Canis lupus familiaris: one gene and its partners. The protein of the gene in region 3 purifies or fractionates together with the protein of the main gene of each other region. This does not show direct contact. Links are inferred from orthologs where the notes say so. Each region holds a gene or a part of one and is shown on either strand. Other genes may lie near its edges.

Region 1 (4,852 bases), about 37 Mb from region 3:
GCCACCTTGTTTAAGAGCTACGCAGCAATCACCAAAGAAGTGAAAACTGTTGATTTAGTTCTAGCATCTTCGTTACACTTAAAATGGTCCTCCATGTTGTACAGACTTCTCCACTGACAGAAAAGGCTCAACATTTCTAAGGCTAGTCCTTCACCTCTAATGGAACACTGTCACTTTCCCTTCACACATCACTATCCACTCTGCAACACTGAACCCAGCCACACTCCTTCTTTTACCTGAACAAAGAATCTCTTGCCTGCTGCTTACCTGTTAGAAAACTACCCACACCCTGCACAAACCATCTAGAGACTCCCTTTCCTCTCCCTGATTTAATTATGTTTGTAGATGGTTCATCCTCAAAAACTGGAATTTGCCAAGGAAGCTATACTATCATAGATACTAATTTACTCTTAAAATATAAGCTTCTCCTAGAGATTTAAATCAGTTCAGATTTAATTATGTTTGTAGATGGTTCATCCTCAAAAACTGGAATTTGCCAAGGAAGCTATACTATCACAGATATTAATTTACTCTTAAAATATAAGCTTCTCCTAGAGATTTAAATCAGTTCAAATTACTTCCCCTTGCCCAGATCTGCCAGCTGACGAAAAGAAGGTGTAAAATATTAATATTGGTATTAGATATGATTTGAGGATTATTAGTCTGTGACTTTGTAAACACAAATTTCCTGACCACTGCAGCAAACCTCTATCAAATGAACAACAAATTAAAGAACCTTGAGATGCTTTGCTCTCACCTAAGTAGATAAGCATTTAAAAAATGGAGCTATGGAAAAATGCTTCATGGTATCAGCTACAATAGCAGAGATAAACTGGCTTTAATACTGAACCAACATTGGTGGGGTAATTTTTTTTATTGACAGAACATAATTCTATTTGTTTATTTATTTTATTGGAGTTCAATCTGCCAACATATAGCATAACACCCAGTGCTCATCCCGCCAAGTGTCCCCCTCAGTGCCCATCACCCAGTCACCCCAACCCCCCGCCCACTTCCCCTTCCACTACCCCTTGTTCATTTCCCAGAGTTAGGTGTCTCTCATGTTTTGTCATCCTCACTGATATTTTCACTCATTTGACAGAACATAATTTTAAAAATTCACATAAAATTAGCCATTTTCAAGTGAACAGTTTGGTGGCATTTAGTACATTCACAATGTTGTGCAACCGTGACTTCTATCTAGTTCCAACACATTTTCAACACCCAAAAAAGGAAATCCATACCGGTGGGGTAACTAAAGGGTACTGTCACAAGGAGGCTGTAAAGGCATGATGCATCAGGAACCAAAGCCCCCAACCCTGTTTGAACACATCCAAATAAACTATAAAAGATGATCCAGTTATTGTTTATTTTCAACAGGGTGGAATGAGGCTTTTCCTTGCCCGAGAGCTACAGCACAACAGTTAAAAAAGAAAAAAAAAGATTTCGTATTCTCTATTTGGGGAATTTCAATTTGTCTCTGAACTCTCCAGTAACAGGGAGAGTAACACATTGTGATTAGAGAACTCTAAAATAAGCAAAACTCACTCAGAACAGCCCTCAGGTGAGAGCATGCCTGCGGTGTCTGAGGAACAGGAGTCCAATATGGCTGGATGGAGAGAGTTGGGGGGGTGGGCAGTGGTAATCAGAGCAGGGGGACCAGACTTGCTAGTCGTTGTAAGAATTTTAGCATTTACACTGCACGATGGGACGCTGTTAAAACGTTTTGAGGAATGAATGGCTATAATATGTTTTTAAAAGAATTACCGCATACGGAAAGAGAAAAATACTACCTTTATAGTGGAGAAACAGGGCAGATACCATCTTCACCAAATGTTCAAGGTTAACGTCACCAATGACGTAATGTGGATACCGTATACCACCTGATATGATGCAAAGGGCACACGGTACGCCTCTAGGCATAGGATTTCACATATATCCTCCATGAAATGAAAGCTTAGACCACAAATACTATTTTTTTTTCCACAAATACTATTTAGGGATGCATACAAAAGCGGAAAAATGTTAACAAATTGAAAACTTCAGAATAATAGTGGCGCAGGGAGAGGGATTTCCATCAGGGAGGAGATTTCTTAAGCTAACGGTCTGAAATCTTAACCTGAATGGTGAATTCACAAATTTTTATTATTCTTTTATTTACTTTGAAATAGACTCAGAAAAAAATTGCAAAGATAATATAAAGAATTCCCGTATACCCTTCATCCACATTTCCCAAATTTAACATTTTAGCCATTTGCCTCATCGTTTCTTTAAATACATCTTTACATACGCTATTTTTTCCCGACCATTTGCGAGTAAGCGGCTTACACAATGGTTCTTTATCCGAAAAATTTCAGCATGTATTCCCTTAAAAAAATTCTCTTTCATAACCACAATTATCCAAAGCAAGAAATTATCACTACTAATATCTAATCTACAAGCCTCAGTCAAATTTCATCAATTTTCCCATTAACATCTTTTACAATAAAAAAAGAGAAATCAATCTTATGAGAAAAATCCTGATTTTTAAATAATTTATTTTTCTGCTCCGGGATCCAATGCAGGATCACACATTGCATTTAGTTATGATTCTTTAAATCCCATTAATTCCTTCAATCTGGAACAGTTCTTCATCCTTTGTCTTTCACGACCTTGAAATTTTTGAAAAGCACAGGCCGTTTATTTTTACAGAATGTCCATCAATCTGGGCTACGTAAACGTTTTATGCAATCTTTTTAGGTCTTACGTATATCACAATTTAAAAAATGAGATGCAACTTGGCGAGAAATAAAATAAACCCAGAAACAGTGTATTTCAAGTACTGGTTAGCCAAGAAATCAGTAAAACAAGCCAATTTATCAAGACACGCACTGACATTTTTTAAAATAACTATTTCTCCTGATTACAAAAACGAAGCAGTACTAAAACACAAAACAAATGTAATAGCGAAGGCCCCTCCCGTGCCAATCACCTGCACTTTCTCCCGTCCTGGGAAGAAGGCCTCGGCCAGAGGCAAAAACCTCGCCGCGTCACAAACTTTGCTCATTCGCAGGCGCCATTTTCTGCTTCACAGGCACTACCTCCCCTCTGCAGTCTTTCCTTGGCCTCAGGACACGCCCCTCAGCGTCCGTCACAAGCCTCGTTCCCAGGCGCCAGCTCCCTCCACCACGCAGGCTCCGACTCCTTCCCTCCGCCCACAGCCCCACGGCTCGGATTCCGCTCTTCTGCCTGACGTCATCCCCGCCTAGCTCTCAGGCGCGGAGAAACCGCAGGCCGCCCCGCCGCCAGATGCTACTCAACGCCACGCAGACCACGCCCCTCGGCCTCGGGCACCGCCCCTTCCCAGGTTGCGAGTTCCATCACGCACTCCCGGCCCCACCCCCTCGCCTCTCCAAAACAAACCTCCAGTTCTCAGGCCTGGGGCACCACCATACAGGCCCCGCCTTTTTCCCCAGACAAGGTGATCCACTCACAGGCACTTCCCCGCCCCTCCCGTCCTCAGTCTCACAGGCCACTCCCCCACCCCCACAGCAATTCTTCGGACCTCAGCCTCCACGTTCCCCCAGCCGAGGATCCGTTCGCAGCCCTGTCTCACCAGCTTTCGCCCGCACGCAGTGGACGCTCTCGCCCACTCTCGCTGTTCTCGATTTGGCGCCACTGGCTCTCCAGGCCCGGCACCGCTTCGCGCTGCGGCTCTCGGTCTTCAGCCGCAGCCGCCACATTCGCTGCGACCGCCGCCATCACCGTTCGCCCTCCTCTCACAGCCACCGCAGCTGGAGATAGGAAGAGGCCCCTCAACGGCCACTTCCGGATTCTGGTCCCGGAAACGGAAACAGAGCCCCCCAAACAGCCAGGGGGCTACTGCCATCTTGGAAAGGGACCCCACGCTCGCACGCGTGGACCGGCTAGGCGGGCGTGGGACTGTGGGCGGTGATCCCTGCGGCCAATGGGCGGGGCAAAACCTCCAGTTAGGGACTAAGGAAGACAAAGGTGCCTTGTAGGATTTTAAAGCCATGTTGAGTCAGGGCAAAAGGTGGTGTGGAAAGGTGGAGGCTGAGGTCCCGTTATGGACGAGGACATTTTGGGGAGTGCTCAGGGACACGAAGGTTCCGCGCTTTCTCGGTCCCATGCTTTGCTGGGAACCACGGCCCCTACCCTGAGAGTTTTTGTTAGCCTGACCAGAATGCCCTATTCACTGCGCTGCTCTTGTCCATCAGAACCTAATACAAAAAAGGTCACCACCCAAGCCTACGGGCTGCTTCCCTGCCTGAACTAGATTTATTTTCCTGACAAACGTGTTGAAGGCAAGTCAGCTTCAGGCCCAGTGTATTTGTTGGCATTATAGCAATGATAACTAATAATAGTTGGCCCTGTTTAAATGCTTTATTGCACGTAAAAGGTAGCCTTAGGCAACAGATGAACATCACCGTCCCCTACGGACATCAAAGGGGCAAAGTGAGGACCAGAAACATTCATTTTGCCCCAGCTAGTAAAAAACACCGAGCTGTGGTTCGAACTCAGAGCTGTGACCTTAAGCACAAGGCCAAACTGTGGTTTTAGGCTTCCTACTGGTTCAGGAGACCTTCTCAGGAGGATTCACAAAGTCAAAACTATTTTCACAATACTTTTTCATTGTCAAGCTGTCTTGCGTGTGTGATGGAATATTCTGAGAGGCTACATAAGCAAAAGCTCTTTAGATGTCCTCAATTTTTAAGACTATTAAAGAGATCATGACCAAAAAGTTTAGAACCATTGCCCCAGGCCAGGAGTTCTCAATCAAGATCTATTGACATTTCTGTTGTGGGAAGCATTGTAGGATATTTAGTTGCATCCCTGCCCTTTACCCACTGGA
Region 2 (4,334 bases), on a different chromosome or scaffold from region 3:
TTAACCTGGAAATCACAACCAACAGCATTGTAACTCATGGCTGAATGAAACTTATTTACCATATATATTTCCTCCCTAAGACACATCCTGACCTTACACTTAGGAACACTAGAGAGCACTTCAGCACTATACTTGGTACAGTGAAACCACCACCACCACCACCACCACCACCGCAAAAAAAAAAAAAAAAAAAAAAAAAAAAAGGCACAAAAATTCAACACTAAATAGACCTCATAAACCACACTTGTTTACAGAATGAGAGAGGAAACAAGCCAGCAGAATGTCACCTTATTTGACTTCAGCTGGGAACATATGTCAGGTAACTCAAATTTTTTACCACTCTGCCAATGTCTATGAATGACCATGAAAGTGCCTAAGAACTGATTTGGGGGTTACAAATATATTCTAACAAGTAGGCAACTTCCCACATTATTCAATACATAAATAATGACTGCCATACATGTGAATGATAGTCAATCTTTCAAAAATTATTTTCATATCATCTAGGTGTTTCCATATATAAATACAGATCATCAACTGTACTACTTCTGAACTTCCAATCCCAAATAGACAATACCAACCCCAATGGCTAACACCGAAGGGTAATGTCTAACAACTAACTGCTAATGAGATGGGTCTATTTCTGTGTTAGGTATTTATTAGAATTAGAGCAATAAACGTCAATACTTTTAGTTCTCATATTAAAAAATTTATATTTCTATCTTTAGAGGTTAATATTTTTTTATGCTTTACCTGTATAGGCTTCAGAAGGTCTTTAGAAAGAAATACTCTTTGTTGATCTCCCAGAAAGCGAATAGAGGTTATGGATCCCAAACCAGCTTTGTCCAACAGAGACTTATACACCTAAAACAAAACAAAAGGGTTCTGACATCACAACTGCTGTCAGAATAATTCTGAAAATGGTGACTAGCAATTTTCCACATATGCAGAAAGAGATAAAACCACTAATTTTATTTACTGCTGGCATCTCAATAACAACTACTTACGCAGCCACAACGCGATCACACAATTTTTATCCAAAACCATTTAAACCAGATACACATTTGGGAGTCATTAACACATAAGTCTGGGTCCAGAGGTACATGACTTCTCCAAAATTTATACAAAAAACTGTGTGTATACATTTTTTCTGGGGGAGATAGGGCCATGTTTTTGGCAAATTCTTAATAGCTGGGGGAGAGAGGGCTACAAAGAGAAAAATATAACTTTAACCAAAATCTATACCACTCAAAAACCTGCAGCAGCTCTTCTCACCCACGGGCAAAATCTTAACTTTGCTAGCACAGTATGCTAGGCCCTTCACAATCTGGTCAGCCTTTCAACCACCTTCCTAGCCTTTCTGTCTAAATCTTGCCCTTCTACTGTTAAGCCCTATGTCTCACAAAACCTGAATTGTCTTCTCCAGACACTATGATCACTCTTATCTACTACATCAGATTTATGATGTGGAAATGGCATAATCATGCACTGACTGCCAGTACTTTCAGAGCCAAAGAATATCATGAGTCAGAGAGAACCTTAGAGATCATGAGGCCAAGACTGGCAACCCCTACAGGAGCTAGGCAACAGCCAGATTTTAAGGTATACTTTCCATATTTTAAAAGTAGATGACTAACTCAAACTTTCTTAAAATGTTATGAAAATCAATCCAAATATACATATACATATATATTGTTTCTCACCTCTGACCTAGACATTCCCCCACATTACCTCCAACCCCATTTTTCAAGTGAAGAAACTGAGGGCTGAAAAGTCAAAGGCACAGAGTTACAGGGTTCCTAGCAGGGCTAACAGGAGATTCCTTATCTGTACTATTCTCCAGAGGCCAAATACAGGCATTACATATACATTTCCCTTGTTTCACTCATAATGGATTAAATCCCCTGGTCTCATAACCTCAAGTTGTACTCACTATTGCAGGCCACTGAACAACTCGTTCAGAAATTTCAGGAGACTTTCGTTCAGCCAAAACCAAGTTATGCTCTACTAAAAATGCTCTCCTTAGAAGGCTATAGACTTCTATCCATCTTCTCTTTCTCCAAGATTCCCCATCAAACTCCACACACACCTAAACAGAAGTGAAAAAAAGCAGATTCAATTAACAAAAATAAACATGAAAAATACCAAAGTTGAATTATACCATTATTCTACTTGAATCTTTTTTTAAAGATTTTATTTAAGAGATATTTATTTGAGAGGGAGACACTATAAGGTGGCGGGGAGGCCAGGGAGAGAAGCAGACTCCCCACTGAGCAGGGAGCCCTATGCGAGGCTCGATCCCAGGACCCCGAGATCACAGAAATCATGACCCTAGCAAAAGGCAGACTCAACCTACTGAGCCACCTAGGCGCCCCTCTACTTCAATCTTTTATCTGAATATTTTGTCCCTCTTTCCCACTCTTACTTCCCTTCCCAGTCCACAATAAACCAATCAGACATGTTAATCTAACCATCAAGCTTTGGCTGCCAAATCACTTTGAGAAGCGGCAGTCAAGGCTTTTGGAAGCCAGTCTCTGCCTCAAAAGTAACTTGTAGAAAGCCAAAGAACCCCCAAGTAGAAAGTTTTTACATATGTTAGACATCAGAGCTTTGAGAATCAAAAGAAAGAAATTTGAAACCTAAAAGAATTACTTACTGCGTGTCATTGTAATTCTAAATGGCACTGTGGGCTTAAGAAGACCACCCCATCACCATAATCCCTTGTTTTGAATCCCTTTGGTATGCATAGGATTCAGACTTACAAGGCCTAGAAGACAGCACATCCTCAACATCCTTTTGAGTTGAATAAACTGGGAGTTTGGAGTCAAAGTCTACTTTGCTAAATATAGAAACAAATAGTTGATAAACTGACACCAGAGCTAAACTCCCTCAATATTTGGTGTAAAATCACTATTTTTATTTAAAACCCCTTTCTTACTAAAGAGGGTTAGGGTTAGGGTTAGCCTCTCATAATTTCATAGACAATCACACTTCCTTTCCAAGCTTTAACTTTAAATAAGTTAACTTCCATTCATCTGCAGAACTCAAAAAATATTTTCCTCAAAGAAGCCTTTCCTAACCAAAGAGCCTCCATTCCCCACCAAAGAGAATTCCTCCTTGTTAAATGTACTCAAAGCCCCATACTTTTCCTTCACCATGTACCCACATTTTGTATTATTTATTTGTGGCTAACTGATTGACATAAGTTCTAATAGGTCAAACTATATGTTTTTATTTACCTTTGTATTTCACTAGTATCCAGTCCCCAGTCAGTACTGAAATACTTGTTGAATGAATAAATTTCTCTCTGAATTGGCCTCTTACCTTCAGTTACTCTCAGACATTTAGAAGGCAGGACATTCCCAATTGGTATACCACTAGCCCTAAACCCAAATCTTCTCTAATTTTATGGCTTTATAAATACCAATCTTTAAAAAAATCAATGAAATTTAAAACCCATCCTTCTCCCCCAACAGTAAAATCTGTGTCCCTAACTTTCAGGTAACTTTCTCTCAGAATATGCATATCTTCTTGGTATGGCAGGCTTTTTAATCTTGCAGTTATCACAGAACCCATATAAATGTGTAAGTACCTATTATGTGACAAGGCCCTGTGTACGCTCTCCTTGGTTCTGTGCATTCCATCCATCACTACGCCCAATCAAATGGTCCTTCACAGAGTTTAGAGACTGCTCATCTTCCTGCCTCCTCAGTCACAGAATACAGGTCTTATGATAGCTCCCCTAAATTAGATAGTCTTTCTGCTCCATATCACATCAACCTCAAACCCAAACTAGCTTTAGATGAGTTTTCCCATCAATGCTGTATAAGAGGAATGAGCATATATAACTACAGCACCAGAGAAATCTGGGTTTGAATCCCAGCTATGCTGAAGCTTTTTTAGGATGATTTTAACCACATAAAATATGTAGCATTACAAAGAAAACCAATTAGCCTGCATGCCAAGTTAAGAACCCTTGCTTAAACCTAAGTTCTTTGAAACTGGTTTTGCTAGCTACAAAATGAAAGTGCTAACACCTACCTCTCACTGAATCATTAGGTAAAATTTTAAGACAAGGTACATAAAGTATCTGGCAAGGAGATCAGGCAGTCTTAAGATTTCAATGGTAATTCAAATCTTAATTTATCAGGGTATCAGTTCAGTTGAGGGAGAGAAGATCCTAAATAAAATTATCCAATATCTATTGAGGGGGGAAAAAAAAAGTAAAGGATTAAGAGATCTTCAGTAGCTTTCCCAAACTTAAGCAACATCACAATTCTTATCAAACCTCTATAAAGCTTACGATCAACCCTAAACCAAAATTTAGACAGAGC
Region 3 (3,938 bases):
ACAAGGTGAGCAAATATGCCAGAAAACCCTTGGGAGAGAATTCACCCTAAGGCAAATATTAGGCACCTAAAACCATAGCCATTTTTTGAAATTGGTTGGGAGGTTCCAATCCTGAATATACATCATTATAGCTGGCCACAGATCTGTCTTGTAGCCCAGGTCTCAGTGAATTCATGTTTGAATCCAGTGGGGGAAAGATGAGGCCTTCAGGAAAAAGGGGACTATTTTGCCAAGAATTCTTTAAGACATTGAGGTTTAAGCAGCACTGGGATGATATGCACCTGGGTAAGTATAATATTAAAACTGACGGAGAGGCATTCTCCACTTATCTGTAGGAGACACAGTTCAGCTTTGGTCCAGAAGGGACTCCAGAGCAATCAGTGAAGCTTTGCAACTGGAGGACCCAGGCACCTTGGCTGTGGGGAGTGGGCATGGTAAGAACAGGACCCAGAAGAAGGGGCTGCTGTGCCCAGCAGATGTGCCAGTATCCAAGAGAAGAGAATAGCAGGATAGAAATAGAATGTGGCAGTCACCTGGAATCTCACAGCAATTATTTGTGAGTTTAAGTGAAACCTCCTTTGGGTTCTAACCCCTGTATTTGAAAGGTATCTATAGGGGTTGTGAGTCCTATGTGTACAAGTGGGGGAAACAAGGCAGCTCTAGGATCTTCACTTTATTAGGCTCCACAGCAGCTTTTTTTTTTTTTAAGATTTATTCATTTATTTATGATAGACATAGAGAGAGAGAGAGGCAGAGACACAGGAGAAGGGAAAAGCAGGCTCCACTCCGGGAGCCCGACATGGGACTCGATCCCGGGACTCCAGGATCACGCCCTGGGCCAAAGGCAGGCGCCAAACCGCTGAGCCACCCAGGGATCCCCTCCACAGCAGCTTTTAAGTCAAACATTATTCCTCTTTAAATGGGAAAATAGTGACTATTAAATAGAAGTACCAAGTTTGTTTCTCTGCGTGATATTTAAAAGAATCATGGAATTAGGGCATCTGGGTGGCTCAGTCCATTAAGCATGTAGCTCTTGATCTTAGCTTAGATCTTGATTTCAGGGTCTTGAGTTCAAGCTCCCATTGGGTTCCATCCTGGGCATGGAGCCTACTTAAAAACAAACATGAGATTTACTTTTCTTTAAAGTTCTGACAAGTATTTATTAAGTGCCACATTGTCTTTATAAGCTGATTGACAGGTTTTTATGTTTTTCCCATTATATTTTTTGCAATGAAAGTAACATGTTTGTCTTTAAAAATTAGTTCTGATGAAGCAAAAATGAAAAAACAAACCAAAACACCTATTACCGCACAGATAGCCACTGTTAAGCCATTTAAGTATATACTTTTTTCTTTGCATATTAATATATAAATATACATTTTTTACAAAAATGAGATGCAACATATACTTTTTGAAAATTGTTTTTTTCACTTCACAATATATAATGTACATCTTTTCATGCAAATGGGTGAGACTCATGATTGAAAAAGGGAGACTTGCAGCTTGTGGGTGGGGAAAACCCAATTTTATGCCAGTTACAAGTGAAATACCTAAACTAAAGCCACACGAAAAGTTAAAAATGAGATGGGGAAAGGTATACGAGAAAATGCAACGTTCAGGTGGCAATACTTGTATCAGGCAAAACAGAATTAAAGCCGAATACATTAAATAGGATAAGGACGGTTCCGTCTTGCCTTCCAATGCATGACCATCAGTTTGTTCCGTACTCTTTTCATTTCTTCCATCTCCTCTGCTACCTTTATCATCTCCTCATTGCTTAAATTTCTGCCATGTATGTCCCCTCTAAATTGCGGGCGAGAGCGAGCCAGCCTCTCTTTAAAGCTTCCTTCTTCTAGCTTATGTTTTCCCACTCCACAAGGAGGCTGCTCCATGGGAGGGCGCTCCTCAAAAAGGTCCCTTCTAGAAAGGCGCTCCTGAGGAGGGCGCTCTTCGGACACGAGCATCTCGGGAAGGAGCTCGGGAAGGAGCTCCTCGGGAAAGAACTCCTCCTCCGACGACTGCTCCTCGGAAGACGGTTCCTCCGGAGACTGCTTTTCAGGAGAGTGCTCCACAGGAGGCCGCTCCTCATCAGTCTTGGGTGCGCTCTGTGGCTGTTCTTCATTTTCTTTGCAGGATTTTTCCATGTTGAGGGGGTCTTTATCTACAGTTATTCATAGAAGACAAGGAAGGCAGAGTCGAGTCAACACACTTGGCGGCTGCATCAAAACCCCAGCCCCGGGTTCTCATACCTGCCTTTTCCCGAGTCGAGGCCCAGGTTCCCCCACCCTACGCTGGTCGAGGGGCTCTCCGGCCCTGGAGACCCCGCTGCGTCCCACCCTGCCCTCAGCCTCCCTAGCCCCCAGCCTCCCTCGCCCCCTCCTTTCCGAAAGCCCACCATTTTCCCAGCAGGCCTTGCCACAGGCCTCTCCCGCAGTGGCAGGGGCGGGGCGCGCCGGCGGTGCTGCCGACTCGGTTCCCATCAGCGTCCTCCCACGTATCCCATCCCAGGTCACTGCCCAGCCCTTCCCCGACCTGGACCTCTCCTGGCGGTTTTTTCTAGGCGCCCTCTTCTCCAGGCGCGCCCCTGTGACCTGCAGACCTGCAGACCTGCAGACAGACGCCAAGACAGGGTAGGGGGCGGGGAGTGGGGAGGAGGGAAGGACTGACTGACATACCGTCCCTTTCTGGACACTAGCCGCCGCTCCCACGCCAGCCCCCTCTGTTTCCCCTCCCCCATACTCCACCTTAAGCTTCGTCCTCCGTGCCCCACCACCCCGCAGTGCTCGTCATTTCTTTTCCAAGCGGCAAGTGGAAGCCAAAGATTACTTAGAAACTGTTTCTAGGTATCTATGTCTCCCAGGCCCCCCCCCCTCATCTCTCCACCTCACCCCAAGACCACCATTTTCTGCACCGAAATGTGGGCGCGGCGGGGCGGGGCTGGATATAGGGAAAGGCCTGGTACTCTCTGCCATCCCGATCCCAGAGGTTACTGGGCAGCACCGACACATACCGATTTCAGAAGACCGAGGGGACTTACTTCCTTCTGCTTTTCCCCTCGACCAAAGGGCAGTAGGCAGACGGTGTCTGGACAGGCAAAAAGGACCAGGAGAGAGGGACTTGGGCAGACATAGGCTCCTGGTCACGTGAGGGCCCCGCGTCACCGCCGAGCTCAGATCCCCAGTTACCACTTTGACCGCCGGCGGCCGTGCTGCAGCCTTGCCAGTATTTTCCTAGCTCATAACACATCAGGCATCGTCACTCACCTCTTTGTTTATATTTGCTTTTTCCTGGTTACCAGAGACAGCATCCAGTCTTGGGAGTTACTGCCTTTTCTTCTCTGCCGCTTACTCTGATATCACCTCTCTCCCTTATTCCATATTCTCCCGTTGTCAGTCACCAAGGTCCAATATTTCCCCTGTAGTCCAGATCCTGCACTGAAATTTGACTATTTTCCCCTAATGAATTCCACCTTTCCCAGCTTTAATCCACATCCCTAACTCCATCGTGTCCATGTAGGCTCTATGAACATGATTTACATCTCTTGTCACTTTTATGGATGATATGCTTTCACTTTTCCATGACTTTAAGGATTTTTTTAAAAGATTTTATTTATTTCACTCAGCATAATACCCTCCAGTTTATTAATGAGATAGGCAGAGACACAGGTAGAGGGAGAAGTAGGCTCCATGCAAGGACTCTGACGTGGGACTCCAGGATCAGGCCCTGGGCTGGAGGCGGAGCTAAACTGCTGAGCCGCCGGGGCTGCCCAACTTTAAGGATTTTTTTGAGCCCCCCCAAACTTGCATCACAGATAGAGGCTCCAGTCTAAATTAGTATTCAGTTCTAGAACTTTGCTTGTGAAGTATGTAAATTAAAAACATGATTTTCGTAAGTCAAATTATACATTTGTCCATCTAAGTACAAATAATTTAAAAACT

The links.
Region 1: the proteins of TCEAL1 (region 3) and USP11 purify together in Homo sapiens (affinity purification with mass spectrometry; 4 studies listed by BioGRID, counting the BioPlex papers as one, with this or other methods). This does not show direct contact. The link is inferred for Canis lupus familiaris from reciprocal best matches to the Homo sapiens genes TCEAL1 and USP11.
Region 2: the proteins of TCEAL1 (region 3) and KDM3A purify together in Homo sapiens (affinity purification with mass spectrometry; 3 studies listed by BioGRID and IntAct, counting the BioPlex papers as one, with this or other methods). This does not show direct contact. The link is inferred for Canis lupus familiaris from reciprocal best matches to the Homo sapiens genes TCEAL1 and KDM3A.

The regions. Positions count from the first base shown.
Region 1 is NC_049260.1:41,027,755-41,032,606, reverse strand, and holds the start of USP11 (ubiquitin carboxyl-terminal hydrolase 11), read right to left. Parts: upstream 3,289-4,852; 5' UTR 2,972-3,288; intron 1-2,971.
Region 2 is NC_049238.1:39,017,549-39,021,882, forward strand, and holds part of KDM3A (lysine-specific demethylase 3A), read right to left. Parts: intron 2,090-4,334; coding exon 1,934-2,089; intron 865-1,933; coding exon 754-864; intron 1-753. UniProt on the Homo sapiens protein: Histone demethylase that specifically demethylates 'Lys-9' of histone H3, thereby playing a central role in histone code.
Region 3 is NC_049260.1:77,603,500-77,607,437, reverse strand, and holds TCEAL1 (transcription elongation factor A protein-like 1), read right to left. Parts: upstream 2,533-3,938; 5' UTR 2,481-2,532; coding exon 2,396-2,480; intron 2,162-2,395; coding exon 1,665-2,161; 3' UTR 1,135-1,664; downstream 1-1,134.